Callithrix jacchus: one gene and its partners. The protein of the gene in region 1 interacts with the protein of each later gene in a pairwise test. Links are inferred from orthologs where the notes say so. Each region holds a gene or a part of one and is shown in the gene's direction. Other genes may lie near its edges. The genes, in order: ZNF24, LMO2, DZIP3 and YJU2B.

Region 1 (8,109 bases):
GTATATGTCTGGTTGTTTTATTCATTTTTAAGAATCAGATGTTTGCTACCAAGGCAAGGCAAGGTTGAAAGATTTGGCTGGTAAAGAAATGAGCCCTTTTTGAATTTAGACATGTTATTATTTACACAGACATTGAAAGCAAATGAAATGCCAGCTCTCCTTGAGCTTTTGTCTCAGATACCAAATGATGACACCAAAACAGAAGGGGCTAGATGACTACAGCATGCGTTGTGGACACCTTGTTGCTGAGGGTTAATGCCATGCTGCAGCTAAGCCTTGTTATAACCTTAAGTGGGTAAGGCAGAATGGCTCATTGGAACCCAGGAAGCAATGAAAAACTGCCTCATGACAGTCTCCGTGGAAGACAAGGAGCTGAGTGGGAAATGGCCTTGCAGAAGCTGCTTACAAGCCTCATATGCGCTCATCTTCTGGGAGGATCCTAAGGTGTTCTGCCAAGACTCAGATTAGCTGTGGTTCATGCATTACCTATGTGGCCTATGTGGATATGTGCAAGGTTGTCATGCCCTGGTATGAATCTGCTCCCTCCATTCAGGTTGCCCAGAGGAACATGATGTTCTATCTTGACTAGATCTTTAAGATGGCATCAAGGGCCATCATTCAGGAAAAATCCCAGAGGACTTCAGAAGGATGGTGTTTCAAAGCAGGTATTATTGGCCTCTGCCCTCAAAAGAGTAACTTAGTGAGGAAAACCTCACTGTGGTTTCCATTTAGTATTTTAGAAGGAATTAGGAATAATAGAATGGAAGCCAGGCACAGTGGCTCACACCTGCAATCTAGGAGGCCTAGGCAGGAGGGTCACCTGTGCTCAATTTAGGAGGCCACGGCAGGAGGGTCACCTGTGCCCAGGAGTTGGAGACCATCCTGGGAAACATAGGAAGACCTCGTCTGTGAAAAACAAACAAAAAAATTAACTGGGCATGGTGGAGCACACCTGTTGTTTAAGGACTTGTCAAAAGTATAAGTCTAGCCTTCCATAAGCATTTCAAGATAAATTATTACAGCATAAAATAGAAGCCTTTACATAGGAGAGTGAAGTGGTCTGATTTGTAATTTTAAATGATCACGTCAGCAGCTATTTTATGGTATAAAATACCCGGTTACTCAAGAGGCTGAGGTGGGATAATCACTGAGTCCGGGAGGTTCGAAGCTGCAGTAAGCTAAGACTGTACCACTGCACTACAGCCTGGGTGATGGATGAAGATCGTGTCTCAAAAACAAACAAACAGAATATAATCACAGGAAAAGTGTTCTGTAAAATTCTGCAACATTTTTAACTTCCCCAAGGTTTCATTTTGAGATTTATCACTTTTGTCTTCCAACATTAATTAGATGTAAAAACTCTTAAAACAAAGATGCCTTCAGTTAGCCTTTATGAATCAGAAAAGAGGAAAAGGTTGGGAAGAGGAGCCAAGCTGCTTACTGGTCCTATCCAAGAAGCAGAATGAAAGGGCTGGATTTCTGAAGCTTCCTGCAATGAAGAGTGTTAGCAGGGGTTGTGAGAAGAGCTCTGGTCAGAGTGAAAAGCAGTGCAATACCATCAGCTGCTTGCTCACTTGCTCTTTCATTCATGAATCCAGCAGAGTCTGAGTGCACCTTGGGGAGGGCATTTTCCCGAATGAACCAAAAAGTTGAAGCCTGAGATTACTGGAATGCTTATAGAAGGCTGGACCTACACTTTTGACACGTCCTTAAACAACAGAGCTCCTTTGTGTGGTGTCTGATGCCAGACATGTGACCTAAAGGCAGCGATGTAATCAGCTCACAATTTATTTATTCAACAAACATTTATCGAGCTCTCTATTTACCAAAGGCAGTCAGCATCCTGGGACTAGGATGGGATAGTGCGGTGAACAAGACAGACAAGGTCCTTGCCCTTAAAGGACTTACAGACAAAACAAAACAAAAAACAAGTAAATAAATGAAATCACTTCCATTAAGTGCCATGAAGGGTCATGTGCTATGAAAGGCAGACTGTGAGGCTGAGGCTACTGGGCCACAATGAGCTGAAGAGCTGAGGTGATAGGGGGCACCAGGGACTGGGGGTGCAGGCAGGCAACAGACCACAGGGGCCTTACAGATCATTACAAAAAGTTTTTACGCCATAAATTATCATGGCATAATTTGGAGGCCTTTAAATGGGGGAATGAAGTGGTCTGATTTGTAATTTTCAATGATTGCGTCAGCAGCTATTTTATGGTATAAAATGCCCAGCTTGAAAATGACCATGCATTCTACAAATTCACCGTGACATCACTGCCAAAACTCTTGTCTCTTTTGGTTTTCCTGACAGATAAATTGGTCAGAATTAAGCTCCGTGACATAAGTAGTGGGAGCCAAAGATCTGAATCACGTCTTGGTTTCAAATCTTGCTACCCACAACTGAGCTGTGAGCTCTTGTCAAGTTATTTACGGTATTTGTGCCTCAACTATCTCAGCTGTTAAACGGGGATAATGAAAGTTCCTACATCATTTATTTGTGAGAAACAAATGACATGGAAAGCACGACGAGACCGCCTGGCACAATGTAGTAAGCTTTCACAAATACTCGCTTTTATTCCTTCTTGCAGGGGATTACTGAGAGGATCCACAAGATAATGCATATCAAAGGGTTTGCGAAACTGTAAGGACTATCTTAATGGCAGAGTCCTCTCTCTTCTTTTCTTTTCTTTTAAACGGTCCTAAGGACTCTGGGCTATTCGAGGAGAGGCACGAGGCCAAGCGCAGCCTCAATGCGGTCATTGTCGTGGGGCCGCCCCTCCCCCGCCCGGGAGCTTCTCCATGGCAACGTGGGCTTCACCTCTCCCCGCCTCCTCGGGCCCGCAGACCGGAAGCAGCCCGCGCCAGGGGCTTCTGGGAAAAGGCTTCTTAGCGGCGTTTCTGCGTCTGCCGTGGACAGCGAAGCTGCTGCGGTTCCTGAGCCGGAGGTTTGCGCCGGTGTGCGGGGACGTTATGAGAGGGAGGGGGACACCGGGCTAGGGTCTCCGGCCGTCTTAGCAGGAGCCGGCGGGGAAGCCTGCTTCGGACCTTCCTCAGCTTCCCAAGAGGCCCGGGGAACAGGCCGCGGCCTCCGCGCCTAGCAGTTATGGGGCGGGGAGAGGTAGGCGGGAGCGGGAGGCCTGCTTGGGTCTTCGGCATCTGCGGAGAGTCCTCTGACTCTCTGTGTCCTCCGAGACCCTCACCTTCCCCCTCCCCCACTGGCCGGTTTTGTTCTATTTCGAGGCCCTGGCGTATCGCGGAGGGTTCTGGGAGTCGTGTTAGGAGGAGGCGGGAGTGGGGCGGGACTTGCGCGGGGCTGTTGGGATCTGTAGTCTCGCCGGCCGCGGGCGGAAGTGCCATGGTTCCGACGCTGTTGTCACAGCGTCTGTTGTCACAGCGTCTGTTGTCACAGATGGCCTTTTGGTCATCTGAAATCTGCTGTCCTGAATGCTGGGAAGAGGGGCTAGAGGACGTTGGGCCAGGGTCGGGCTACACAGCGGGTCAATGCAGCAGTGAGGTAGGCGATCACCTGGGACCAGGTACCCTGCCCAAACGTTGTTGGGACCGTGGGCCTTCCCTCCATGTCCCACGAGTAGTATGCTCTACAACGTAAAAGGAAGAGAAATTTGTGTAGAGATACTTAAACCATTGATAAGCAGGTCCTGGAATAGAAACGAATGAGTGTTAGGTAGACCTTATTTATAAGGCCACCACACTCCAGAATATTTAATTAAGCCAGTATGTATTATTTGTCTGATAAGGCCTTTTCTGATTCAGTCTTCATCTTGAGTTACAATAAATTTTTTTAAGTTGTTATTGTTCAGATTCTGGGCCCTGAGTAAATAAATAGAGTAGGCTGAATTGCTCGTTGCTAGTATGTGACATAAACAACAGCACGGGCATGATAGTGCAAATAATAAAGGTCCAGGAACAGCACACAGTTTTCCTGAAGGTAGAAGCTGGGGAGTGAGTCATCCAGTGTAAGGACAAGACACTGGACCACTGCCAAGAAGTTAAGGTGCTTATGTGAGTGCCTTTTCTTAATAGAATTTTCTGCGATTAATGCCTATCATTATAAATATCAATGTACATATGGTGTGATGGAAGACTGAATATTTACATATTATGGGCAAGATAATTTTTCAAAATTATGTGATCTTTCACATATGATCTTTTTAGTATTATGTGATCTGTTACTTAGCAAGTGAACATTTTTTCACATATATTTTGAGTCCAAGGAGTTCTTAAACACCTTAAAAATATTTAAGTTTTAAAAAAACATTTTGTAAAGAAAATTTTTTTAAGCACGTAATAATAAAGCGAATCTTCCTTTTGAGTTGACCTGTGTGTGTCAGGAAACACCAGTCCTGAATTGCAAATAATGGGTTCCATGGTCAGGCACATTTAGAAAGCACTGAAGTAGTCTGGTTCTTAATTGGATTCTTCTGATTATTGACATAGGGTTTGTTGTCTTAGTAGGTCATGATTGGCAGACTTTTTCTTTAAGCGGTCATATAGTAAATAAGGTCATGAATAACTTACCAATAGTGCTACAGTCTGAGAAATATGTTAGGCTATTTCATCCTTGTGTGAACATCACAGAATGTACTTACACAAACCTAGATGGTGTAGTCTAGTACACATTTAGGCTATCTGGTGTAGCCTGTTGCACCTAGGCTACAAACTTTTACAGCATGTTACTGTACTGAATGCTGTAGAGAATTGTAACACAATGCTAAGTATTTGTGTATCAAAACATAGAAAAGATAGAATAAAATATGGTATAAAAGGTTTTAAAAATGATATGCCTGTACAGGGAACTTACTGTGAATGGAGCTTGCTGGATTGGAAGTTGCTCTGAGAAGTCAGCGAGTGAGTAGTGAATTTGGAGGCCTAGGACATTATTGTACATGCCAATGGACTGTATAAACCCTGAACACTTAGGCTATACTACATTTATTAAGAAAACATTTTTTTCTTCAATAATTAACCTTAGCTTACTGGAACTTTTTCACTTGCAAACTTTTACTTTTTTTTTTTTCTGAGATGGAGTCTTGCTCCATCACCCAGGCTGGAGTGCAGTGGCCTGATCTCGGCTCAGCGCAACCTCTGCTTCTCAGGTTCAAGCAGTTCTGCCTCAGCCTCCTGAGTAGCTGGGATTACAGGTGTGCTGTATTTTTAGTAGAGTCGGGGTTTCACCATGTTGGTAAGACTGGTCTCGAACTCCTGACCGCGTGATCCCCCTGCCTTGGCCTCCAAAGTGCTGGGATTACAGGTGTGAGCCACCATACCCAGCCAACTTTTACGTTGTTGTTTTTTTTTTAAACTTTTTTACTCTTTTGTAATAATACTTTGCTTAAAATACAAACACATTGTACAGCTGTACAAATATATTTATATCCTTATTCTGTAAGCTTTTTGCTATTTTTAAATTTAATTTTTAGAGACAGCGTCTCTGTTGCCCAGGCTGGAATGCAGTGGTGCAGTCATAGCTCACTGGAGCCTTGAACTCCTGGACTGTAGTGATCTTCCTGCCTTAGCCTCCTAAAGTGCTGGGATTACAGGCATGAGCCACTGCACCTGGCCAATTTTTTTTGCTTTTGGAACTTTTTTGTTAAAAGCTAAGACACACACATACCCAGGCTTACACAGGGTCTGGATTATCAATAACATTGTTTTCTACCTCCACATCTTATCCCACTGGAAGGTTTTCAGGAGCAGTAACATGCGTGGAGCTGTCTTCTCCATGATAACAGTGCCTTCTATAATACCTCCTGAAGGACCTGCCTGAAGCCATTTTGCAGTTAGCCATTTTTTTTTAATAAGTAGGAGGAGCACACTCTAAAATAGTATAGTATAGTAAATACATAAACCAGTAACATAGTTGTTTGTTATTGTTACCGTTTTTTTTTTTCATCATTCTTGTCTGCTTAGTTACCAAGTTTTATGTTCCATATATAACTGTATGTGCTAAACTGGCAAAACAGCAGGTTTGTTTACACAAGCATCACCACAAACGTGTGAATCTTGAGTTTTTCAGCTCCATTATAATCTTATGGGACCACTGTCATCTATGTGGTCCTTCATTGACCCCAATGTCATTATGTAGTACATGACTGTGTTAGGTGTTTTTTAGGCCATGTAGTCACTCAACTCTGCTATTGTAGTGTGAAGTATGAATAAATACAGTTATTTATGGAAACAGTCATGTTAATTTCATATCATTTCCACATGTCATGAGGTATTCATTTGATTTTGGGGAGCTCCATTCTCTAAAATATCATTAGGTATTCATTTAATTTTAGGGAGCTCCATTCTCTAAGGCACTGTGGTGAAGGCCACAGCTATTTAAAAATGTGAAAATTGTTCTTCATGCAAGTGTTGTACAGAAATGGGCGGCAGGCTAGATTTGGCCATGAAGCTGTAGTTTGCCAACTCCTGGTGTAGGTTATTGGTCGAACGAAGTTTGTAATTCAGTCAAAGAACAAGTATCTTTTACTTCTTTTATCAGTGTAAGTCCAAATTTTTAGGATATTTTTGCTCATTTATGTATTTTTTATTTCTTGTACCTCAGGAGTACCGTGAAGAAATCGCGGTATTGCCCTGAGGCTTATATTCTGCCTCAGTTGTCCTTTCCTGAAGTATTATAAATCAGAATGTCTGCACAGTCAGTGGAAGAAGATTCAATACTTATCATTCCAACTCCAGATGAAGAGGAAAAAATTCTGAGAGTGAAGTTGGAGGAGGATCCCGATGGTGAAGAGGGATCAAGTATCCCCTGGAACCATCTCCCTGACCCAGAGATTTTCCGACAGCGATTCAGGCAGTTTGGATACCAGGATTCACCTGGGCCCCGTGAGGCTGTGAGCCAGCTCCGAGAACTTTGCCGTCTATGGCTCAGGCCAGAGACACACACAAAAGAACAAATCTTGGAGCTGGTAGTGCTGGAGCAGTTTGTTGCCATCCTACCCAAAGAGCTACAGACTTGGGTTCGAGATCATCATCCAGAGAATGGAGAGGAGGCAGTGACAGTGCTGGAGGATTTGGAGAGTGAACTTGATGACCCTGGACAACCGGTGAGCTTGCTTCTGTCATTTCCTGAGAAGCACTGGCATCGCAGTAGGCAAAGCTGCTGAATTAATTCCACTCAACTAAGTTAGAATTATGTTTATGCCTTTCCCCCCATTCCCCTACCACTCCCTGTTATCTGTGCTTCTTTGCCATCTAGGCCTCTGTAATATATGTTTTATGGGATTTCTCCTACACGTTTTTAGTTCTGATTCTCATTAAAATTCCTTCTCTGAATCAAATCTTTCTGTTTCCAGGTTTCTCTCCGTCGACGAAAACGGGAAGTGCTAGTAGAGGACCTGGTATCTCAAGAAGAAGCTCAGGGATTACCAAGTTCTGAGCTTGATGCTGTGGAGAACCAGCTCAAGTGGGCATCCTGGGAGCTCCATTCCTTAAGGCACTGTGGTGAGGACCAGAACTCTGTGTGGGCTAGAGGGTGAACTAGAGTGTAGGCCTTTTGTTCAGAACTTTGCTTGCTCTCACTGGTGGGGATGTGGGGGGAATCAGATCACTCTCAACCTGATACAAGATCTTGATTTATTTCTAATTAAGTTGATTTTGCTGGCCTCAGACCTTTTATTCCTAGACATTAACATCTTCAACCTTTTCTTCCCTTTCAGTCTCCTTCCTAAAAAGACTTGCCCATGTCAGGCTAGCATTTGCCTTACTTTGAGCAAGCACCCACCCATAGACCAAGTCCCTCTGTTTTGCATTCCGTATTACTTGTCATCTGTTTTCCATCCTTTTACTTTCAATCTCCTGCCTAATTCTATTGGTATAGTAAGCTTATCTGAAGCCTCTTCTAATCTCTTTGTTGTGCATCACTGAAATCTTTCTAAATATTTAACTATTTCTAACTTTCTTCACCTCCTACCTAGAGTCATTTTCTTCTAAGAAGCTTCTTTTATAGAAATGATAGTTGGAGTAATGTTTTCCCTTTGTCTAAGTATTTATGCAAAAAAAAAAAAAAAAAGGCTCTTTGGCTATAATATGCTCTAAATGCAGAAAAAGCTTTTTTAAAAGCTCATAGTTGTATTAATTCAC
Region 2 (8,139 bases), on another chromosome or scaffold:
ATAAAAACACATTTTGAGACTTGATTCTAAATGTTAAACTTAAATTTGAGCGATTTAATTGCCTGTTGAATAGGAATGAAATCCCACCGGTAGGCAGTTATTTCTTACAACCACTGTGTGTGAAATTGAAATCTTAAGATACCATTTCAAATATTCACCTTCTCTAAGGAAGTTCTCCCCAAAGAGTTGTGAAAGATAAGACCCTGACCCAAAGTCATAGGCAGTAATCTCTTTTTCTTACACACTCAGGTCAAAGTAGAAGCACATTATTAAAAAGAAACTTTATGCCCTGAAGTTGGCTGTTCTGAGGTTACCTCTTGGAACCCAAGAATATATTTATTTTAACAACTGACTTGAGCCCCATGCAAAACTGTAACAAGGAAAGTAGTAATTTATCAGATTGAATAAAAACAAGCAGATGCAAACAGATCACTCACTCACCACGATAATGAAGATTCAAATGGAAAATGTTAACATGTTTTATTGAGAAGAAAGAGATGAGCGGAAGGGATCCTGTTTCCTGCTTTTAAAAAACAGGAAATAGTTTATAAATTTGGGTGGGCAATTCTTATCTTAAACCCTCATTTCACCTTTAAATTTAATTTCAAGCTCTTTTAAAATTATCTTAATGATGCCCTTTGCTAAAACTATAGCAGCTGCCATTTATGAGTGCTTACTATATACCAGTTGCTTTTCCTGCAAGCAACCTCATATCTGTTATTAGCCTAAGGCCATTACAAATCTACGTGCCACCCTTTTGTGCATTAACTCATATCATCCCCACAACAGCTTATGCAATAGGTTCTGTCATCTCCATTTTACAGATGAGGATACTGGGAGTTTATTGACTGATTGGAGATGGAGTCTTACTCTGTCACCCAAGCTGAAGTGAAGTGGCACAATCTCGGCTCACTGCAACCTCCACCTCCTGGGTTCAAGCAATTCCTCTGCCTCAGCCTCCGGAGTAGCTGGGATTAAGGGCATATACCACCACAGCCAGCTAATTTTTGTACTTTCAGTAGAGATGAGGTTTCACCACGTTGTCCAGGCTGGTCACTAACTCCTGACCTCAAGTGATCCACACGCCTTGGCCTCTCACAGTGCTGGGGTTACAGGATACTGGGAGTTTAAATTCCTGCTGGGAGCCCAGGTTCAGGTTCATTCACACAGGTGGTCAAAGGTGGGTTAGAATCCAGGTAGTCTGACTCCAGAGCCACCACCGCATATTGCCTCCTCAGATTAAGTCGTTTTCCGAGGCCATGCTGGCTGGTAAGTAAGAGGCTAAATCAAACCCAGGCAGCCGGGTCCCAAAATTCCAGCATTTAGCCACCACACTGACTGTTGACAAGTAGGTGAATTGCTCATCACAACCATGAAAGTAGTGTGGTAGGTTGTATTTTTATCACATAGTTTAGGCTTGTCTAAAATTTCTAGGAATTTTCTTTTTTAAATTAAAAATAAGGGTCTATCAGGGAAAAAGTGGTTTTTGTTTTTGTTTTTGTTTTTTGAGACAGGGTCTTCCTCTGACCCCCAGACTGGAGTGTGGTGGTGCAATCATGGCTCACTGCAACCTCCACCTCCTGGGCTCAAGCAATCCTAGTACCTCAGGTTCCTGAGGAAGCAAGCACCACCACGCCCAGCTAATTATTTTTATTTTTAATAGAAATGGGGTCTCACTGTGTTGCTCAGGCTAGCCTGGGCCTACCAAAGTGCTGTGATTACAGGCATGAGCCACTGAGCACAACCAAAAAAAAAAAAAAAATAGTCTTTTTGTATACTGAAGACTTTGCTTGGACAAAAATGTGCTCTTAAACTTCCTTTCACACACACACACACACACACACACACACACACAGAGCTTTTAATTATAGCCATTAGAGACCCAAGCCTTGGGACACAGGGGCAAAAAATGACAAGAGCATGCAGGCAGTGGTAAACTCTGGTTATACTTGGACAGGTCCATAAAGCTTTGGCTCTGAACAGGGAAAATGAAGCATGCAGGGATTCACTTCTGACTTCAACTACCACCTTTCAGGGTGAGCTCAGCCAGGCCCGTGGTGCCATCTTTAAAATGGGAACAAAATAAGTATGCCTATGATCCAGACTGATCATATAAAACCATGGATCCTGAAAGTACTTGGCAGTTCCCTCCTTGCAAGCCTTAATGACGGGCATCACACCGAAATAGGCCTGAATGCAGATATTTTCAAGGAACTCTGAGGCCCAGGGGAGCCAAAGTTTTTCTCCATGGAAGGGCAGACTACTAGCCTCCTCTCCTTCCCCTCTGCTTCCTGCCTCTTTCTAGAAGGAGGCTGGATGGGGGGGAAGCCTGAACCCCCAAATCAAATCCCCTTCTTTATGCCTGACCCAGGGCAAAATAATCTCCCAATACTGTTCCTGAACATTGGAAAAGCACTTTCTTTGGTCGGGGTCTCACTCTGTCACCCAGGCACTGGCACTACACATGGGGGCAGTTTAACTGCATTAGTCCGCATTCTGAAAGATGCTGAGGGAGGGGATTCCGCCACGAGTCGACTGAGAGGATCCCTGGCCCCGCGTAGTCCCTCCCCGCCACCCTCCCTCTGGGATTAGCTGCCCTGGCTCTGCTCAGGCGTCCCCAGCAGTCCCGGCCCGCACAGCCCCATCGCCTCTGCAGAGTGCGGCCGCAGCCTGGAGCCCACCGCCCGCAGAGCTGCGCGGTCCGGGACAGCCCGGTGCACCGGGTCCGTGGATCTGGGACCTCGAACCCAGGACGGACGCAAAAGCCACTCGGAACGCTTGCATTTCTGTAGGTGCTTATTTCTCATTCTTGTCTTTTCTTGGTTGATCGAACTGTTCGTGGGTTACTTTCTGCCTCAGTTAAACTAAAAGGGAAAGGCGGAAGAGGGGAAGCTCTGAAGAATGATTTAGTGGCTGCCCAGCCTCCTCTCCAAGGAGAGGTGTTCTCCGAGCGGCTCTCCCCGTTCCCGACACTGGCCCCTTTAAGAAACCAAGTCAGTCCTGATGCTGCTGTTTGTATTGCTAATCCCCAGGAGCCCCGTTAAAAAAAAAAAAAAAAAAAGGAAGAAAAAAGGGGAGGTGGGGGGACCGGGCAGCTGTCTCTTTAAATGTGATTTCCTTCTATTGTATTTGAATCGTGATCAGGAAAAAGGAAATGAAACCAGAGACAGAGGGAAGCTGAGCGAAAATAGACCTTCCCGAGAGAGGAGGAAGCCCGGGGAGAGACGCACGATCCCCTCCCCGCCCCCAGGCCGCCGCCCCCTCTCTGCCCTCTGCGGCGAGCTGCGCGCGGAGACCCGGGCCGAAGGTGCGAGGGGCTCGGGGCGGCCGGGCGGGCGCGCACCATCCCGTGGGCGGCGCGAAGCCGGCGACAGTGCGCGAGAGGGACCGGGCGGCGGCGGCGGCGGCGGCGGCGGCGGGACCGGGATGGAAGGTTAAGTCCTGAGCAGCAGCAGCAGCTGCAGCCTTCCGGGGCCAGGCTGCGCGCCCCGGCCCCCGCCTCGGCCGCCGCGCGCCCGCAGCCCGGTGATTCGCTCTCTCTCTTTGGCGTTTGAAGGGAGCGCGGTGACTGTCCTTGAGCGCGGAGGGGCGAGCTCGCCGCCGGAGCGCCAGAGCAAGCGGAGGCGCAGGAGCGGCGGCGCCCGAGCACCCGAGGGGGTCCGAGCCCCGGCAGCCGGCCAGCCCCGCGCGACAAAGGGAGCGCCCCCACCGCCCGGCACGCCGCCTCCCTCCCCAATGTCCTCGGCCATCGAAAGGAAGAGCCTGGACCCTTCAGAGTAAGTGCAGCGCCCCTGCCCCTGCCACCCCCGGTGTCCATGGCCTCCCGCCCCGGGGCGGCGGGGGGGACCCAGGCGGCCCGCGAGGGGGCTCCAGGTGCGCGCCCCGGCGTGCCCTTGGTCCCCTGTGCCGAACGCGGGACTCCCCCCTTCCTCGTGGGTAACTCCGGGGGCCCTGGGAGAGGGACTGGGAGGCGGGCGGGAGGGCGAGGGGTCGGCCCGGCGCCTCTGTGGGCCCCTCCAGGCTACCGGGACGCTCCCTAAAGCCACCGCGGGCCAGAAAGTTTGCACGGGAGCAGGCGCCAGGGAAGCCCGGAGGCGCGCAGGTGCAGTCGGAAGAGCGTTCGGGCTTCACTGCTCCCTTCTCCCCTCTCGCTCAGTCTCGGCCCTTTCTCTTTGTCCATTTGGTCTTGGAAAGGGGAACATTCCAAGTGGAGGCCTCCGGGGTCCCCAACGGCCGACTTCCCGGTCCGCAGGTGGAGCCGCTGCCAGCAGCGCGGGTACCGGGCGGGTGAGGGGTCTGACCGCCCTTCTCGGAGCTGGCTCTGGGCCTCCAGGGATTTCTAGAGCAGCGAAATCCGGAGTAAATCTGAGTACGCGTACCCCTCCTCGGGGTCCACCGATGGGGCCTGTGAACCTCGAAAGTTAGTGCACCATTTTGCGTGTAGGTTAATTCTTCTGGGGAGCAGAGTCTCAGTTTTTAGCATAGTCTCAAAAGGGTTTGGGGTCAGGTAACCAGGGCTCTAATGAGCATTGGCCGCATCTGTTTTCTGAGCCTCGTACCAGTTTGGAGTATTTCTCTATCCCTAACCCATTCTTTAGTGTTAACATGGGGAGCAGGGGGTGTTTAAGATATCATTTTCCTGTCAACGCAAATGCCATTTTAAGAGTCATTAGCTGTCTGGTTTTGAGAATTTTTATTCCTTTGAAGTCCCCATCTAATCCTTTGAAGGGATTTGTTACACAAGACCAAAGGAGCTGGTTAATGACTTGTCCATTTGTGCTTTTAAGAGACATTTGTTTTGTTTTGTCTTTTCCTGCTTTAAAAGAATTGTGCTTTCCTGCTTGAAATACCGCACGCACACACACATACACACGCACGCACACACATACACCCCCTTCAATTTCGGCTATGGTGTTTATTTACCTGGGTTTTACCCTCCGTTACCAGCATAAAAGCTCAGCATGTTCTCATAAAACGCAGGAAGTACCACCATCCAATGAGAATATAAACATCACTATTCAGTCTTGAAGGTTAATACACCAGTTCTATAATGAGCTAGGTTTGTTGTAGCAAAAACCCCCACTTCCTTCAACAAATTCTCAGAAGAAAAATAACATTCCTTTTTAAAAGTATGTTTATGCAAACAATGGGTTTAAAGGGTGGTTTGATCACGTTTTTAAATAAACTTAACAATTACAACCGAGCTCTGAGTTTCAGAGACTGGGCAAGATCACACAATAAGGAAGTGACTTGGATGAATTGGTGCCTAATGCCTTTTTGATCAGTAGAATTTTGTCACTAATCCTTTCAATAGAAGATAAATCTGAAGGTTTCAGTTCCCTGAAGGAAGTTTGCTTCTTTCAAAGTTTGTGCTTTCTCACTGAGGATATAAAACTGAAACATCCTAACTTCCTAACAGGCAGGTATCGACTGCTGGAGGCTCACCAGCTCTTTCCTTCACTTCACTATTTGCCCAATGAAGACAGGTTCTAATCAAAAAGGCACAAGCTGGTTGAGAAATTGCTGCAGTGCATTCTCCCCACCCCCTTAGAAATTGTTATGAAATTATCCCAGAAATCCGGGCTGAAGTGATATTCAGGTATAATATTCAAGATAGGCTCTGGGAGAATATAAAATATTAATTTGAGGGTGAATCAATCTCATTCAGTCATTGTCTTGGATTGTCCACTAAGTATAATGTGATATTATCATTAATTAATTATAGAAAGACAGAGCCAATATCTTACACTTTACTTCTCCATCTCATCTCAGGCCGTCACCATAACTCATTTACTTTACGTTCCTCCTGTGGTCCAGTATCCTACTAGATTCTTCATTGTGTACTTCCTCAAAGCCAACTTGGGTTATTACAGTCAGCATCTCCAAATTACAGATGGAGACTTGCCTAGCTATATGCAAATGAAACATTTGGACAGAAAGCCAGCCAGAATTCATGAACACAGAGATTCCCTTGCTATGCCATTGCTGGCCCCCGCTGCCTCCCGTGAGTACCAAGAGCAGTTCATTTGAATTCCAGGCAGTTTTGCACCAGCTAAGGGCAAATTCTCCTCTTTCACAGTCCTTTGGCAGCATCCAATGTAGTCAAGGTTCCATGAGTGGTTTGGAAAGCCCAGAGTAAGACCATGGGCTGTGGAAAGAGAAGAGATGCAATTCCCAGTTGATACACGTGAAAAAGCCAGGGTATTAGTTATTAGAAGGGAGAATGGTAGTCCTTATATACAATCTGTAGAAACAAGGGAAAGAAAGCAAGCCTTCAGTGAATTCTTAAAACTACAGTCACCAGGCGCGGTGGCTCACGCCTGTAATCCCAGCACTTTGGGAGGCCGAGGCGGGTGGATCACGAGGTCAAGAGATCAAGACCATCCTGGTCAACATGGTGAAACCCCGTCTCTACTAAAAATACAAAAAAATTAACTGGGCATGGTGGCGCATGCCTGTAATCCCAGCTACTTAGGAGGCTGAGACAGGAGAATTGCCTGAGCCCAGGAGGCGGAGGTTGCAGTGAGCTGAGATCATGCCATTGCACTCCAGCCTGGGTAACAAGAGCGAAACTCTGTCTCAAAAATAAATAAATAAATAAGTAAATAAATAAATGCAGTCCTGATTTTTTTTTGAGCTAAGGTCTCACTGTATTGTCTTGCCTAGAATGCAGTGCTCACTGTAGCCTCATCCTTCTGGGTTCAGGTGATCCTCCCACCTCAGCCTCCTGGGAGGCTGGGATTACAGGCTCATGCCACCAAGCTTGGGCAATTCTTTATGTTTTTTGTAGAGTCAGGGTTTTGCCATGTTGCCCAGGCTGGCCTCAAACTGCTGGGCTCAAGTGATCCTCCTGCCTTGGCCTCCCAAAGTGCTGGGATTACAAGTGTGAGCCTCTGTGCCTGGCCATTTTTTTCCCCCCAGATAAACTAGCTTGAACTTTACATTTACTTGTTCTAAAGATGATAATCTCATGAAGTCCAGTTACACTGTATCTACAAAGTGTGGACATGGCTTTGGTACTCCTAAATATTCATAGGGAGTACTTCATACTTTGCATGACAGAATCACCTCAAGTTGTCAGAGTATTATAGACATTGAGCCACCTGAGTCTCCTGTCTCCAAATATAATGGCTGCTGGGCTTTTTGGATACAGACTAATTAGGACACAAGGTCACCTGGTAAGTTAGTGCCAGTTAGAAATAGGAGACACAGGCCGGGCCCTGTGGCTCACACCTGTAATCTCAGCATTTTGGGAGGCCAAGGCGGTTGGATCACAAGGTCAAGAGTTTGACACCAGTCTGGACAACATAGCGAAACCTCATCTCTACTAAAAATACAAAAATTAGCTGGCTGTGGTGGCAGGCACCTGTAATTTCAGCTACTCAGGAGGTTGAGGCAGGAGAATCTCTTGAACCCCAGGAGTGGAGGCTGCAGTAAGCTGAGATCCTGCCACTGCACTCCAGCCTGAGCAACAAGAGCGAAACTCAAAGAAAGAAAGAAAAAAAGAAAGAGAGAGAGAAAGGAAGGAAGGAAGGAAGGGAGGAAGGGAGAAAGGGAGGGAGACACAGATTTATACCTGCAGTGTATCCAGGAAGAAAGTCCTTTACAGTTGGAAGAAAGTCCATTTTTTTGAAACATAATAGATTTTTAAGAAACAGATTTGTGTTTAAGTAAGGTTCCAGAGAACATTTGCTAATTATTACAAATAAGTAAGTATTAAGTGTTTCCCATGTCCCATTTGGGGGACACTAGAATCATTCCTTCCATTCCTTCATTTTCTTTTGGCAAAGTTATTGACTTTTAAATGTAAAAGAGTATTGAGATTCCAGTGAAGCCAAGTAGGCAGGAGATACTATGCATGGCATGTTAACGAAAAACACACGCCACAGCCTACTAACGACTGCTGGTTTGAGATGTCACTGTCTGTTTAAATGCGTTCTATTCTCTGAAATAATCATTGCCCCCTCTTCATTTTCTTCCTTAAATCAACTTCATCCAAATCAGTTTTACTAATATAAAAATGTTCAGGTGAGGAAGGACAGGCCTATTTGATGTTCTTCATAAATATAACAACGGCCTTACAGTCTGGGGTTTTCCTCCAAGAATTCCTTCAGTAGAAAGAATCGAAAATGGAATATC
Region 3 (7,427 bases), on another chromosome or scaffold:
TTCAATCCCAAACATCCTTGTAATTTGACCCCTTCATTCTTCAGTTTACATCTTAGAAATATGAACATTTTTTATATTATCTCAGTGCTGTTATGTACTGCATAACAGCATGTTGGTCAAGGACAGACCTCAGGTATGATGGTGGTCCCATAAAATTAAAATGAAGCCGAAAAATTCCAATTGCCTAGTAGTGGTGTAGCTGTCATAACATTGTAGTGATATTACTTTATTTTTTAATAAATTTAACATAACCTAAGTTTACCATGTTTATTTTAAAGTCTATAGTAGTATATGGTACTCACCACTCATTCACTGACTCACCCAGAGCACCATCCAGTCCTATAAGCTCCATTCATGGTACATGCACTGTACAGGTGTACAATTTTTTTATGTTTTATATTACCTTTTGACTGTAATTTTTCTATGTTTAGATATGTTTAAATTCACAAATACTTATCACAATTGCCTATCATATTGAGTACAGTAAAATGCTGTGACAGGTTTATAGCCTGGGAGCAATAGGTTATGTCATATAGCCTAGGTATGTAGTAGGCTATACCATCTACTTTGTGTATTAATGCTCTATGATATTATGTTATGACAAAAACGCTTAATGACACATTTTCCAGAAACTGTCCTTGTTGTTAGGCAATGCCTGAGTATACTTTAAAAAATTTAGGAATAATCTTGGTGAACTTTTCAAAAATACAAATTCATCTGTATTTTTACAGTTGTAGGGATGTTTAGAAACATTTAATTTTTAAAAGCTCTTCAGATAATTTAGAAAAGTAATTAAATCTGAGAATCAGTGTTCTACACAATCAATTGATTTCATTGAACTTTTCAGAATGTTTGGATCACTCTAGAATACCTCAGTAATATCTAATTACTGCTTATATAGTATTTTATGAATTATTCCACAAGCATTAGATTTCATTTTTTCTAGATCTCAGTGTTCTAAAAAGTAATAATGTATCCTGGACTTTCTATTCACTAGCTAAATCAAGTCATTTACATTACAATCTAAATAAGAATACTCCTGTTTCTTGTTGCCATTCAAAGAGATTAGGAAGGAAATTTATAGCTAGTAAGTAGTAGTAGGCCAAGTGAAAGGACAGTATCAGGCAATTAAATTTTAGAAAAAAGTATAGAAATTGGTTAATTGCTATCATTTGTATATAGTATGTTCATCATTTAAAGGTGGTCTCTGTTAGTAGTTAAGTTACTGAAATCCATGTAGTTCTTTTTTAAAAGTCCTGTAACAAAAGAAACCTCCGTTTTACAGTCTGTTTTATGTTCTATTTTCCACCTTCTGTTTAAAAGTACATTGGACCTAATCACTGAAGTTGCTTAAACCAACCTACTTGTCAAGGAAATTATGGGAGAACAAAGAATGTTATAATGGTAAAATAATATATCAGTTGCGGAAATCCTTGTCAATATTTCTGAAATACTGTTTTCCAAAGCAACTGAAATTACTAGTTATAATTTGTAAAGTGAACTCTCAATTTTTGAAAACAGTGGCATGAACAGAATTAAACAGGTACCTTGACTGAGTGCTACTTTAAATATGCTAATGTTCATTAAGAATCTTCAAAAGAAAGACTCAGTATGAGCACTATCCAAACGTTCTTTGGCCATGAACCCTTCTAATGCTGAGCATCTCGTGAAACCAGTACAATACTAATTTGGGAAGCCATAGCTTAGATGAAAATCACTGTACGAGTGTAAAGGCTCACATTGATTATGTTGCCGCTATAGCCCATATGTGGTAGAAAACGAAGAGCAGTTGAAGAAAGAACAAGCAAATCCACAGTCAGTCGGTGGCTTTTTAAAAGATGACGCAAGTGATATTCAAGAGGATTCTGCAACGGAAGACAAGTTTTATAGCCTGGATGAATTGCATATTCTGGACATGATAGAGCAGGTAAGCTTGATTGGAAAGGGTACCTGCCTTCTCTCAGATTCAGTTGTTACCTGGTTTTTCCTGTGACTCTCTGAACAGCATAACCCCTTGAAAATTTCAGTGGTTTGTACTGTTTGTGAGGAGAAAAAGAAATACAGAAAAGGAGGTAAGGAAGGCTATATGAAGGAAAATAGATTAAAAAATACAGAACCCCTAGGAGCTAGAAACTTCAGGAAACTTCACCTTAGCCCTCAGACCATTTCCTTGCTTTAAATGTAGGGCAAAGTTGATCACAGATGCTTTTCTTGCAAAGGTTTTTTGAATACCACAAAGAAAAAAAAAAACTAGCATAATACCACTAGATTACAGGTCATGAGAAAAACGGGTTTGTAATATAAAGCTGCTTTGATTTTTAAAAATTCAATATGATTTTTACCATGAAATGGCTACAAAAATGGCTACGTGTAGCCATGTTTTTTTTTCTGGCTCCATTCCTGGTAGACACTGCTTGGAATGATGTACCTATATGTGAAGAGGCACGTGAATGTGATTTAAGTGCTCAACAGCAAATGAATTTTTTTTAAAACCAATTTTTTTTTACCTACTAGTGTGAATTCAGTGATAACCTGCTCTGCTATTTAAATATAGTGGTATATAATATGTAGGAATACTCATTGTCTAAGGGTACAGTTAGTACAAATCATTCCTTGGCCAATAGTACAACATTCATATAATTGTCATACCTTTTTTTCTCCTAATTAGAATACATACATTTTAACTGAAATGATATATTCACCTGCATTTTGTCAAGAGCTGTGCTAAGACAGAGTCTCTGTTATAATGTTTACAATGTAATGCATAAGTTGAACATTAAACTCAGATGATGCAGTGTAATAAGTGCTTGGGCAATGAAGACTGCCTGAGTTAGAATGCAGGCTCCTCCACTGACTGTCTATGTGATTTTGGGCAAGTTACTCACTATGAGATCATCTCTAAAATGGAAATAATGACTGTCTACATCATATGGTTCTTATGACAATACGAGCATCACTCTTACAAAGAAAGTGCTTAAGAAATGGTAGGCATGCAGTTGGTGGTCTCCAGCAGTAGCAGCAACAGGCAAGTAACTGGTACTCTATTAAATGCTCTAATTGAGGGGAGGTGGGTTTATCTAATGGTGCGTTTATCTAAGTTGGGTGTTTTACTTGAGACAAAAAACATGAACAGGAGTTAGATGGCAGCTTTAAATCCCTTTCAAATAACTAAAATATTAGTGTTTTTCTAGAGGAAAGTAAGACATGCATATTTCCTCTGCTCATAGGGCTCAGCTGGCAAAGTAACCACAGACTATGGAGAAACTGAGAAGGAAAGGCTTGCTCGGCAAAGGCAGCTTTATAAATTGCACTATCAGTGTGAAGTAAGTATTTTTGCCATTAGATCTGAGGGAAGTGAGAAGTATTTCAAATATTAAAATTACAGGTGTTTGCTGTTTGAAAATAACTTTGTTTGCATTTTTGTTTCAATTTTCTGGTGATTTGAACAGAATTATCTGAAATAATATTTTTATTGATCAGGATTTCAAAAGACAGTTGAGAACAGTGACTTTTCGGTGGCAAGAAAACCAAATGCAGATTAAAAAGAAAGACAAAATTATTTCATCTCTTAATCAACAAGTGGCTTTTGGAATCAATAAGGTTTCCAAGTAAGTGTAAATCTTTTGATAAAAGGAACTTCTGGGTTTGCCCCATAGTAAACAGTATCTTTAATACTTACTCCCTGCATAACCACTAGGTGGCACTGTGACTACGCATTAGGAACTCCAACCACAAGGCTGCACTTGTTTAAAAACCAACCATATTTTTTGTCTTGCCAACTGGATTGAGAAATAAGCAGCTGCTCACACTATATATCAAGCTTTTCATGTATTGGCGAACAAGTGTGAATGTAATAGATAATTAACTTTCAGGTCATGACTTTAATTTGTAAAAATGTGGCCAATGATTGGCTGTTTCTTTATAGTATATGAATACATTCCTCAAAGACACCAGGGAATCTGTTGAGTGCATTTTTATGTTGGTATCTCAGAGCATTTGTGTTCTATGCCTGTGAGATTGAAAACAAATCTCTTTTTTTGTTTGTTTGATTGACTCTTCCCCACCTTACCCCAATCTCTTTTCTCCTAAACCTAAAGTTTAGGATACGCTTTATGTATCCTGACCAAAAATTCTAAGTGAATTAGGAAAAAATTAGTAACGTTGTTTGTTCTTTCTGTACTAATCACTGCTTCCAACCTGTATTGATTTAAATAGCAGCATAGTTTCAAGCCAATTATTTTAACAAACAGTAATACCGTAAGACACCAGCCATCCAAAAAGTCTAGTTTAAAATACATTGCAGTTCCTAGAATGCTGACAGGGAGAATAGACAAGTGCTGGGAATGTCTTATGAAATTGCCAGAGATTTAGCTCTAAGTTTTCTCTCATATTGCATCTGCCACATGAAGGGGTTATTAGCAAGAACTAGATGCCATAGTTCTGACAACATGATTTCATTCATAAGCATTGTCAGACTTATCCTTACTAGAGTTAGAGAGATCATTCAAGTTTAGAAGACTGTGGGACTTAAGAAAGCTCAGACAAACGAAGCTGGCTGCAATCATTTAAGAAACTGTACTTCAGCATTCAGAACTTCATCTTTTAGCCTAAAGAGGATGACTAATCTAGAAATATGTCATAGAATATCAGAGACTAGAAAAGCCATGCCATCAGTGAGGATGAGCTGACTTTCTTCCATCTGAAGATATTCCTCCTCAACTCCTGACAGGTGGCCCATGTACCCTTACATGCTTGAGGCTATTAAGTAGTCCACTTTAGGGGATGCATATGCCTTCACAAAATGAGCATTTAATGTTGGGCATTCACCAAACATTTATCAAGGGCCTACTATGTTAGAAAACTTATGGAAGGCACATGTAGAAGATACCAAGATGTGTGAGACATTCATTATGATCCAATGGAGAGTGTAATTAACATGTAAGGATAAAACTACATAAAATAGAGACTTCCAGGTCCACTAAGATGTATAGCCCCATTTCTCACAGCTGTTTCTTCTTAAAAACTTAAACACCCTGGATATAACACAACAGAAAAGCATAGTAACACTCTAGAAGGTAGAAAAAGAAAGAATGCTGTCTAAAGACATTGAGACTTAAGGAATGAGCTGGCAAAAATTTTCTGATTGCCTCCCATATATCTCGGGGCACTGCGGAAGCCTTTAACCTGGAATTGCTAAAAAGCAGAGGGGGAAAAAAAAACTGTAAAAAAGCCTGTTTCTTCTAGCCAAATTATCAGTAAAAGGAAATTATAATAATAGAAAGGCTTTTTGACAATACCCACCCTACTGCAGCCACACACAAGTGGTCCCATGCCACCCCTTGGAAGTAGGTGGTACACAGCGATTCTCCCATCTAACATAAGTAGGTAGCAGGAATCCTGTTTTTCTGGTAGGATAGTGTTGGCAGTATTAACCAGACAGCTGACTTCCATGTTCCACTGGGGAGAAGGAGACAGTACTTTAATTCCTCTGCAGGATGTGTCAGCTGAAAGCTGAACTTTACCGCTACCCAGCACCAATATTACTTAACAAGCCAGTCTGAGACAAAACTAGTCAATACTAGGCTTCATCCTCACTCCCTCTTACTGAGAATTAAGTCTTCCCCCATGGGACTAGCTGGCATTCCCTTTCCCCACTTCCGTCAGCTGGTGCTAGAGGGACACAAGGGAGCTGAACTTCTGCCTCTACCCTGCAGCAACAAAGTAGTGCGAGTCAGTCCTTTGCTTTCTTCTTTCCCAATGTCAGCAGGGTCCAGCAAAGAGCTGATCTTATATTCCACTTGGCGGCAAGAAGGCAATGTGACTTGGTGCTCCACTTTCATGGGAAGGTATCAGTGGGACTGGGAGGGGAGCTGAACTTGTACACCTCTCATCTGCATTGAGGCAGTGCGAGTCAGTGCCCACTTTTCCTGGGGTGCTTTTCGTAGAGCACAGTGCAAAGCCATGCATACCCACCTTCCTCGGCTTTTACATTATACCTCAACAGGAGACTGCCTGTTAAAAATAGGAAGATTAACTAGAACCCAGAGTCTCATAATATTCAAAATATCTATGGTAGAGTAGAAAACATAGACCATACCAAGAACCAAGAAATTCAGACAAGAAAGATTAAAGACCAGCAAATCACAATATTAATATTACTGAGATATTGGAATTATCTGACAAGGATTTTAAAGCCACCATCACAAAAATGCTTCAACAAAACTGAATAATCTTGATACAAATGAAAACCTAGAAAATCTCAGCAGGTAAATAATAAGTAGGTAAATAAAGAGTGGGAATTCTATAACTAGAAAATACAGTGATTAAAATTAAAAGTTGCTGGATATACTCACTAATAGAGTGGAGATGACAAAGGATTCAATCAGTGAACATGAGGACAGCTGAATAGAATGAACTCAATCTGAAGAACAAAGAGAAAATAAACTGAGAGAAAAATATGAAAAAGACAGTGTAAGGGACCTGTGGAACAGTAACAAAAGAGCTAAAGTACTTGTCACTGGAATTTCAGAAGGAGAGCAGAATGAGAGAGAGACTGAAAAAGTATTCAAAGAAATACTGAAAATTTCCCAAATTTGATGAAATGTATAAATTTACAAATTCAGAAACTAAGTGAACCTCAAACTAAGTGAACCCCAAATAGCAAAAACTCCAAAAAATCCATGCTAAGACACATCATAACTTCTGAAAATAAAAGACAAAAAAGTCTTGAAAAAGGGCAGAGAAAAAAATTACTTATGAAACAGTAATTCGAATGACAACAGATATTTTTCATTTGAAACCATGAAGACCAGAATGAAATGGTAGTTTATTCAGTTACTGAAAGAAAAAAGTAGAACCATGAATCCCATATTTAGCGCAAATTATTCTTTAGTAATAGAGGGAAATAAAGACAGTCTCAGACAAGGGAAAATTATAAGAATTTATTGCTAGTAAATTCATATAGCCTACCTTTAAAGAATGGCTATAGAAAGGTCTCTAACATTAAAAATAGATATATAATAGAAGCTTGAAACTTCAGAAAGGAAAGAAGACCATTAGAATGAGTAAAGAGTATGAAAAATAATAAGAGATTGTTTATTAATTTCTTAAGTCATATATGATGGTTGAAGCAAAAATTTTAACACCATCTCATGGAATTCAATGTACATAGAAGAAATGCAATATATTCAAAAAGTGAGGAGGATAAAGGGACCTAAATAAGAATAAAGTTAAGGATATACCATGCAGAGGTTTATATAAAAAAAGTAAGAGTGGTTATATTATAATTAGATTAAGTGGACTTCAGAGGAAGAAGACTGCTGGACACAAAGAGGGACATTACATAATGATAAAAGGATCAATCCACAGGAATCTTAAGGTATATGTACCAAAAACATCCTCAAAACACATAAAGTAAAACCTGATAG
Region 4 (8,214 bases), on another chromosome or scaffold:
AGCAGAGGTGGAGCTTGGTACTGAATAATATAGCAGGAGTAACAGTAGCAATATCGTGATCACTTCTGACCCTGCTTTTGAGACATTGCCAATTGAAGTGTCTCCTTCATTGCTGAGAGAAGGTGTTCTTTCTTCTCTGAATCCCCCAGACCTGACATATAGCAGGTGCCTAATGAACAGCTGTTGAATGAACACAGATTCTGTTAGGCTCTACAGGGCATAAAAGTAAATTCAGTATGGGCACGGTGGCTCACGCTTGTAATCCCAGCAGTTTGGAAGGCCAAGGAGGGCAGATCACCTGAGGTTAGGAGTTTGAGACCAGCTGGCCAACATGGTGAAACCCCATCTCTACTAAAAATATAGGCCAAGTGCGGTGGCTCACGCCTGTAATCCCAACACTTTGGGAGGCTAAGGCAGGCAGATCACGAGGTCCAGAGATCAAGACCATCCTGGCCAACATGGTGAAACCCCATCTCTATTAAAAATACAAAAATTAGCTGGGCATGGTGGCATGTACCTGTAGTCCAGCTACTCAGGAGGCTGAGGTAGAAGAATCACTTGAGCCCGGGAGGCAGAGGTTGCAGTGAGCTGAGATTGTACCACTACACTCCAGCCTGGTGACACAGTGAGACTCTGTCCTGAGGGAAAAAAAAATTAGCCAGGTGTGGTGGTGGCTGTCTGTAATCCCAGCTATTTGGGAGGCTGAGGCAGGAGAAATGCTTGAACGCAGGAGGCAGAGGGTGCAGAGAGCCAAGACCACGCCACTGCACTCCAGCCTGGGCAACAGAGTGAGACTCCGTCTCAAAAAAAAAAAAAAGAAAAAAAGTAAATTCAAAAGCCATTCACCTGTGCAGAAGGCAGGGCCAGGCTACTTTGGAGGCCCCAAGAGAAGTTATCCACCCACTTCTGAAAAAGGCCAGACGGTAAATATTTCAGACTCTTTGGGCTCTCTCTTACTCTGCTGCAACCATTCAATTCAGCCCTGTTGCAGCCATAGACAGTACGTAAATGAAACAGATAAATGAATGGGCCCTGCTGTTGTAGGCAGGTGAAAAATGGCTTCCCTTCACCTTTATAGGATCTTTGGCTGGTCTACGAATTAAACTGACATGTAAACATAACAAAAGCCATATTTAATTATGTACCTATGCAGGAGAGTCCCATAAAATACGAGACTCCGAAAAGGATCAGAGCGGCTGGGCACAGCCGCTCAAGCCCGTAATCCCAGCACTTTGGGAGGCCAAGGCAGGTGGATTACTTGAGGTTAGGAGTTCAAGACCAGCCTGGCCAACATAATGAAACCCCACCTCTACAAAAACTAGCCAGGCATGGTGGCGGGCGCCTGTAATCCCAGCTACTCGGGAGGCTGAGGCAGGAGAATCACTTGAACCTCAGAGGTGGGGGTTGCAGTGAGCTAAGATCATGCCATTGCATTCCAGCCTGGGCAACAGAGGGAGATTCCCTTTCAAAAAAGGAAAAAGAGGATCAGAGAAAAGAATAGGGGTTTGGGGCTTCTGGGAGGGTGGTGGCAACACAAGTTATGGGAGTGTGAGGGGACAAATTGTATGATGAAGAAAGTCTGTCTTGTTAAGCAAATAAAGTCTTGCAGGTAATAAAAATTGTCTCAGGCCAGACACGGTGGCTCAAGCCTGTAATCCCAGCACTTTGGGAGGCCAAGGCTGGCGGATCACCTGAGGTTGGGAGTTTGAGACCAGCCTGACCGACATGGAGAAACCCTGTCTCTACTAAAAATACAAAATTAGCCAGCGTGGTGGCACATGCCTGTAATCCCAGCTACTCAGAAGGCTGAAGCAGGAGAATCGCTTGAACCCGGGAGGTGGAGGCTACAGTGAGGCAGGATCGCTTGAACCCAGGAGGTGGATGTTGTGGTGAGCTGAGATGGCGCGATTGCACTCCAGCCTGGGCAACACGAGCAAAACTCTGTCTCAAAAAAAAACAAAGTTGTCTCAGAGCAGCCCTCAGAACAGATGACTGGGCGTGGTTTCACTGTTCCCTAGTTAATAAAACCGTGAGAAAGGATTCATCTTTCTTTCTGTGTTCAGGCAGATAAGATCAATTCAGTTCAGAGAAAACCCCTCCTTCCCTGCATTTGCTGTTCCCCCCAAGTGCCCTTATTTTGAAGCAATCAGCAGATCAAAATGCATATCACTGTATTCCAATAAAACTTTATTTATGGACGCTGAAACTGGATTTTTTAATTTTCACGAGTCACAAAATATCTTTTCCCCCACCTAACCATTTTAAAATGCAAAAACAGAGCAGTGGTTCATGCCTATAATCCCAGCACTTTGGGAGCCAGCGGATTGCTTGAGTCCAGGAGTTCGAGACTAGCTGTGGCAACATAGTAAAACCTTGCCTGTGCAAATAATTTTTTTTTTTGAAATGGAGTCTCGCTCTTGTTGCCCACGCTGGATAACAGTGGCGCAATCTGGGCTCACTGCAACCTCTGCCTTCCGGGTTCAAGCGATTCTCCGGCCTCAGACTCCCAAGTAGCTAGGATTATAGGCGCCCGCCACCACACCCAGCTAATTTTCGTATTTTTTTAGTAAAGACGGGGTTCCACCATGCTGGCCAGGCTGGTCTTGAACTCCTGACCTCGTGATCTGCCTGCCTCTGCCTCCCAAAGTGCTAGGATTACAGGCGTGAGCCACCGTGTCCGGCAGCAAATGATTTTAAAAATTAGCCGGGTACGGTGGCGCGCGCTTGTCGTCCCAACTATTTGGGAGACTGAGGTAGGAGGATCGCTTGAACCCAGGAGTTCGAGGCTGCAGTGAGCTATGACTGCGCCACTGCACTCCAGCCTGGGCGACAAAGACAGACCCTGTCTCAAAAATAGAAAATAAAAATAAATTGGACAAACAATTCTTAGCTCACTAGCCGTCCGAAAACACGGCCTAGTGCGCTTCGCGCCGCGGGCTATAGTTTGCTCACCCACGCTGACCCACTGCCGCGCACAGGAGAGCACTCTCGGGAGGGCGGTGCCAGGAGGTGGGCCTCGGATTGGGCCCCACGTACTGGGCGGGACAGATACGCCATCTTGACGTAAGCGCAGTTGGGCGGGGAATGCCCGGATTGGCCTACCCGGCGTCACAGAGCGCGCGGCATATCGGTATTCAGCCAATCAGCGCGGCGCTGTTGTCTCGCCCCGCCTCGCGCCGGCGTCTGGGTGGTGTGGAGAGGGCGCCCAGTTTCACAGAGCTCCCAGCGCTCACTTCCGGGCACGGTCGGGCCGTGACGTCGGGAGGAGGGCAGGTAAGTGCGGAGGATCGGGGAAGGCCGGGGTCCGGCCGCCGCCTCACCCTGGCCTCGGAGCCGCCTGGCTCGCCCGTCCGCGTTGCGGGACGCGGAGCTGAGGACCCGAGTTGGATGCCCGGAGCAGGCCCAGGTCCCAGCCACGACCAAAGTCCCTGAGGCCCCAGCTGAGACCCCCGACCCAAGTGCCCGGTTCCCGGCCCCATCCTAGCCCGCATCCATATTATGCCTGAAGGGCCCCTTGGTTTCCGCATCCGGAAAATGGGACCAATAAGTCCCCACCTCACCAATTTTTTTTTAAATGATCCTTGTAAAACCGTGAGCAGGAGAAATTACTAAACTGCCAACATTTAACTCGGTGTCAGGCGCTGCTCTAAATGCCTTAACCAACCATTTTACACATAAGGAAAGCGAGGCTTAGAGAAACAGTTTGCCCCAAGTCAAGCAGATGGGCAGCAGCACGGTGGCACTCCGAACCCGAGCTGTAAGCCCAGGACAAACAGGGTCGGTAATTACTTTTGCACGAAGGACCGGAGATACCTACACGCCCCGCCCCCCATAGCCCAGTCTGTCATTTACTGGGGCAGTAAAACCATCTTAAGACATGCACACCCTCACGCTCCCGTAAAAGGAATATTTTTGCTCTTTGCAGGCTCTTCCCGTGTGTTACTTGATTCACAGCAACCCCAGAAAGTCAGTCTTGTCGTCATCATTCGCCCTTTACCAGGGACGAAATACAACAAGCCCGGGGAAGTACAGACACTGACCAAGGTCACCCAGCTGAGTGGAGCTGGGATTCAAGCCCAGGGTGCCGTGACCCCTAACGCCTCAAGGGGCACTTACCTATTTTGTTGGCAAAAGTATTTTTAGGTTCGAACAGACCTTGGAATAATCTAAGCTAAGGGCCGTACTTTATAGTGGAGTATCCAAGACTAAGATGCGAGCAGAACAGTTTATATCCAGGACTTGGCACCACTGCCTCCCCGCCTCATCACATAGCCCCCACTCCATCAGAACCTCATTCATTTGCTTCTTTTCTCTTCTTTTTTTTTTTCTTGAGACGGAGTCTTGCTCTGTTCACCTAAGCTGGAGTACAGTGGCATGATCTCAGCCCACTGCAATTTCTGCCTCCCAGGTTCAAGCAATTCTGCCTCAGCCTCCTGAATATCTGGGATTACAGGTGTGTGCTACCATGCCCAGCCAAGTTTTGTATTTTTAGTACAGATGGGGTTTCATCATGTTAGCCAGGCTGGTCTTGAACTCCCAACCTCAATTGATCCACCTACCTCTGCTTCCCAAAGTGCAGGGATTACAGGCGTGAGCCACTGTGCCCAGTCCCTAAGAATGGTTTTACATTTTCTAGTCATTGGGGAAAAAAATCAAAAGAAGGATGCTTTGGGACAGGTGACGAGTATGTGAAGTTCAAATTTGTGTCAACAAAATTTATATTGGCATGCAGCTACATACGTTCCTTTATATGTTGTTTGGGGCTGCTTTCTAGCTACAAGGGCAGAGTTGAGTTGTTGGAGCAGAGATCATCTGTCCTAAAAAGCCAGAAATATTTACTGTCTCCCCCCTTGACAGAGAAACTTGGCCAATCTTTGTTCTAGAATACGCTTCACTGCCTCACAGCATCTCTCTGTAGTGTAAACTTGAACTTCCTTCTATTTGACCTAAAAGGCTCCCTTCCAAAACATGGGAGGGCATCTGACCACCCCTAGCTTGAGGAGCCCCCACATTTGTTAGCTGTGTCACTTGCACTGACTGTGGCCCTTACGGAGCCTCGATCAGTTCTCTCAGTCGCTCACCCCATTGACGTTTATCTGGGCCTGGCACTGTCCAGGTGTTGGGGTATGGTACAGTATAACCTGGCCGGGAGACATGAACAGACACAGGGGATGTGACCAGAACGCCAGGAAACAGGCCGGGCGCAGTGGCTCATGCCTGGAATCCCAGCACTTTGGGAGGATGAGGCAGGCGGATCATGAGGTCAGGAGATCAAGACCAGCCTGAGCAACATGGTGAAACACTGTCTCTACTACAAATACAAAAGTTAGCTGGGCATGGTGGCAGGCACCCATAATCCCAGCTACTCAGGCGGCTGAACGAGGAGAATCACCTGAACCTAGGAGGTGAAGATTGCAGTTAGCCAAGATCACGCGACTGCACTCCAGCCTACAACAGAATGAAACTCCCTGTCAAAAAAAAAAAACAACTCCAGGAAACTAGTGACTATGGATTGAGTGGTCAGATGAGTCTGTGTGTCTGTGTGTGTATGTGTGTTTTGAGATGGAGTCTCACTTTGTAGCCCAGGCTGGGATGCAGTGGCACCGTATTGGTTCACTTGAACCTCTGCCTCCTGGGTTCAAGCGATTCTCCTGCTTCAGCCTTCCAAGTAGCTGGGACTACAGGCACGCGCCACCGGGCCCAGCTAATTTTGTATTTTTAGTAGAGACGGGTTTCACCATTTTGGCCAGGATGGTCTCGATCTCTTAACCTCATGATCTGCCCGCCTCAGCCTCCCAAAGTACTGGGATTACAGGCGTGAGCCACTGCGCCTGGCTGTCCATATTTTAAAAGATCCCCTGGGCTGCTGTAGGGTGAGCAAGCATCGGGGGCAGGGCAGGAAACGAGAAGACAGCGCTGGCCCACGTGAGTGATGATGGGTGCTGGACTGGTCGGGGCCACAGAGAGATGAAAGTGTCAGATGTGATGGGTACACTGGCTGTTGAGTAGGCAGAACTCCTCTTTCTGAACAGACACACGCCGCTTTTTGGATGTCTGCAACGCCTGGCAGGAGTCTTGTGTGAGCCGGCTCCACCACACGGCCCACGACATCTTCGCAGGGAAGACAGTGGACCAGGAGGCCAGGACAGGGCAGTGTGCTCACAAGGCCAGTTTCTGATCGTCTGCCCTGAGGGTGAGGACCAGTAGGCAACTGCCAGGATGGTGAGTAGACAGCCTCGTGTGCCCTGGGCTCCTCTCCCAGTCTGTGTTGGACCCTGGAAGCAGCCCCTCCTCCCCTCCCACAGCTCTAAGATGATGCTTCCTATGTCGGGGTCACCCTCTTGATGCAGTGGGTCTGAAACGTTGCTGTGCACTAACATCACCCAGGGGTGCTTTTTAAATGTTTCCTTTGGTGTTTTTTTTTTTTTTCTAAGACAGTCTCACTTTGTCACCCAGGCTGGAGTGCAATGGCACGATCTTGGCTCACTGCAACCTCCACCTCCTGAGTTCAAGCAAGCACCTCCCACTAATTTTTATATTTTTAGTAGAGACCGAGTTTCACCATGTTAGCAAGGCTGGTCTCAAACTCCTGTCCTCAAGGAATCCACTACGCTCAGCCTAAATTTCCCCTTCCCCCTCCCCTTCTTTCTCTTTCTTTCCTTCATTTTTTTAAAAGGTAAAATTCATATAACATAAAATAAAACATTATGAGGCCAGGCGCAGTGGCTCGCGCCTGTAATCCCAGCAGTTGGGGAGGCCAAGGCAGGCGGATCATTTGAGATTAGGCATTTTGAGACCAGCCTGGCCAACATGGCATAACCCTGTCTCTACAAAAAATACAATTACTAAGCCAGGCATGGTGGTTCACGCGTGTAGTCCCAGCACTTTGAGAGTCCGAGACAGGTGGATCGCCTGAGGTCAGGAGTTCAAGACCAGCATGGCCAACATGGTGAAACCCCCGTCTCTACTAAAAATATAAAATTAGCTGGCCATGGTGGCAGGCACCTGTAATCCCAGCTACTCGGGAAGCTGAGGCAGGAGAATTGCTTGAACCCAGGAGGCGGAGGTTGCAGTGAGCTGAGATCACAGTGAGCCGAGATTATTCCACTGCACTCAGCCTGGGCAACAAAGGAAGACTCTATCTCAATAAAATAAATAAATAATCCAAAAAAAATGTTTTTAATGAGATTTGGGTGGGGACACAGCCAAACCAAATCAGCCTGTCTCTCAGTCATGTCTCTTCCGCTTTACAGGGTGAAAGGAAAGGGGTCAACAAGTACTATCCTCCAGACTTCAACCCCGAAAAGGTAAGAGCAGCTCCCTCCTCCAGCCCCACACTAGCAGAAAGGCCCACGTCATCCCCTCTTGGGGTTGGAGCTGCTGCTGTGGAAGGATGGGCGGCCCACAAGGTCTTTTTGTCCTCCGCTCGTTACATGAGGCTCGGGCTGTCTTCACTTCTGGGTGGTAACTGGGGCTCTCCTCAGGGACCTGTCACTCCATGTCCAGCAAGGAGCATAGTGTGTTTACAGCGGGGGCCCAGGATATGGCCAAGCGCATGGATGAGGATCCCCTGGCTCCCCAGCTCCAGCACCTCTGGCGTCCTGGTTGTCGCCTCTGCCTGGAATCTTTTCCTCCATTTCACCATACCCTCAGTTCCTTAAGGGCTTTCCTCACAGAGGTCCTCCCTGACCACTGTCTCGTTCTCTGTGGCATGGCAGAGCACTTTATATAACCTCACAGCCCTTAGAACTCCCTCACTTATTGTTCCTTTATTTGTGTCTTGTCCGTCTCCCCTACTAGAACATTCTCTCCATGAGGACAGAGCTGTTCATGGCTGTGTCCCCACAGGGTAGGTGCTCAGTCAGGGCCCGAGTCCATTGCCTAGTCCTGAGTATACGACTTTGGCCTTTGTATGCCAAAGTTTCTGCATATGTCAGAAGGGGAAAATAAAAGGAGCTGACCTCACAGAATCATTGAGGGATAAATCCTAACTACTCGAGAGGCTGAGGTGGGAGGATTGCTTGAACCCAGGAGGTGGAGACTTCAGTGAGCCATAATCATGCCACTGCACCCCAGCCTGGGCTACAGAGCCAGACTCTGCCACAAAAAAAAAAAAAATTAGGTGATACACATGAAGTCCCCAGGGAATGTTTGCCAGCCTTGTCACCTCACCTCATCTTCCCCATAAACCTGGAAGTAATGATGACCATTATA

What was found.
Region 2: the proteins of ZNF24 (region 1) and LMO2 interact in binary tests that used the Homo sapiens proteins (3 or more experiments, as listed by UniProt). The two-hybrid records come from large-scale screens. The link is inferred for Callithrix jacchus from reciprocal best matches to the Homo sapiens genes ZNF24 and LMO2.
Region 3: the proteins of ZNF24 (region 1) and DZIP3 interact in binary tests that used the Homo sapiens proteins (3 or more experiments, as listed by UniProt). The link is inferred for Callithrix jacchus from reciprocal best matches to the Homo sapiens genes ZNF24 and DZIP3.
Region 4: the proteins of ZNF24 (region 1) and YJU2B interact in binary tests that used the Homo sapiens proteins (3 or more experiments, as listed by UniProt). The two-hybrid records come from large-scale screens. The link is inferred for Callithrix jacchus from reciprocal best matches to the Homo sapiens genes ZNF24 and YJU2B.

What each region holds. Positions count from the first base shown.
Region 1 is NC_133514.1:78,423,023-78,431,131, reverse strand, and holds the start of ZNF24 (zinc finger protein 24), read left to right. Parts: upstream 1-2,888; 5' UTR 2,889-3,514; intron 3,515-6,571; 5' UTR 6,572-6,653; coding exon 6,654-7,073; intron 7,074-7,322; coding exon 7,323-7,470; intron 7,471-8,109. UniProt on the Homo sapiens protein: Transcription factor required for myelination of differentiated oligodendrocytes. Required for the conversion of oligodendrocytes from the premyelinating to the myelinating state.
Region 2 is NC_133511.1:99,241,049-99,249,187, reverse strand, and holds the start of LMO2 (rhombotin-2), read left to right. Parts: upstream 1-3,162; 5' UTR 3,163-3,426; coding exon 3,427-3,433; intron 3,434-3,556; coding exon 3,557-3,776; intron 3,777-8,139. UniProt on the Homo sapiens protein: Acts with TAL1/SCL to regulate red blood cell development. Also acts with LDB1 to maintain erythroid precursors in an immature state.
Region 3 is NC_133516.1:99,726,762-99,734,188, forward strand, and holds part of DZIP3 (E3 ubiquitin-protein ligase DZIP3), read left to right. Parts: intron 1-1,761; coding exon 1,762-1,927; intron 1,928-3,227; coding exon 3,228-3,323; intron 3,324-3,480; coding exon 3,481-3,608; intron 3,609-7,427. UniProt on the Homo sapiens protein: E3 Ubiquitin ligase proteins mediate ubiquitination and subsequent proteasomal degradation of target proteins.
Region 4 is NC_133523.1:12,550,749-12,558,962, forward strand, and holds the start of YJU2B (putative splicing factor YJU2B), read left to right. Parts: upstream 1-3,213; 5' UTR 3,214-3,273; intron 3,274-4,333; 5' UTR 4,334-4,453; intron 4,454-6,032; 5' UTR 6,033-6,219; coding exon 6,220-6,222; intron 6,223-7,253; coding exon 7,254-7,307; intron 7,308-8,214. UniProt on the Homo sapiens protein: May be involved in mRNA splicing.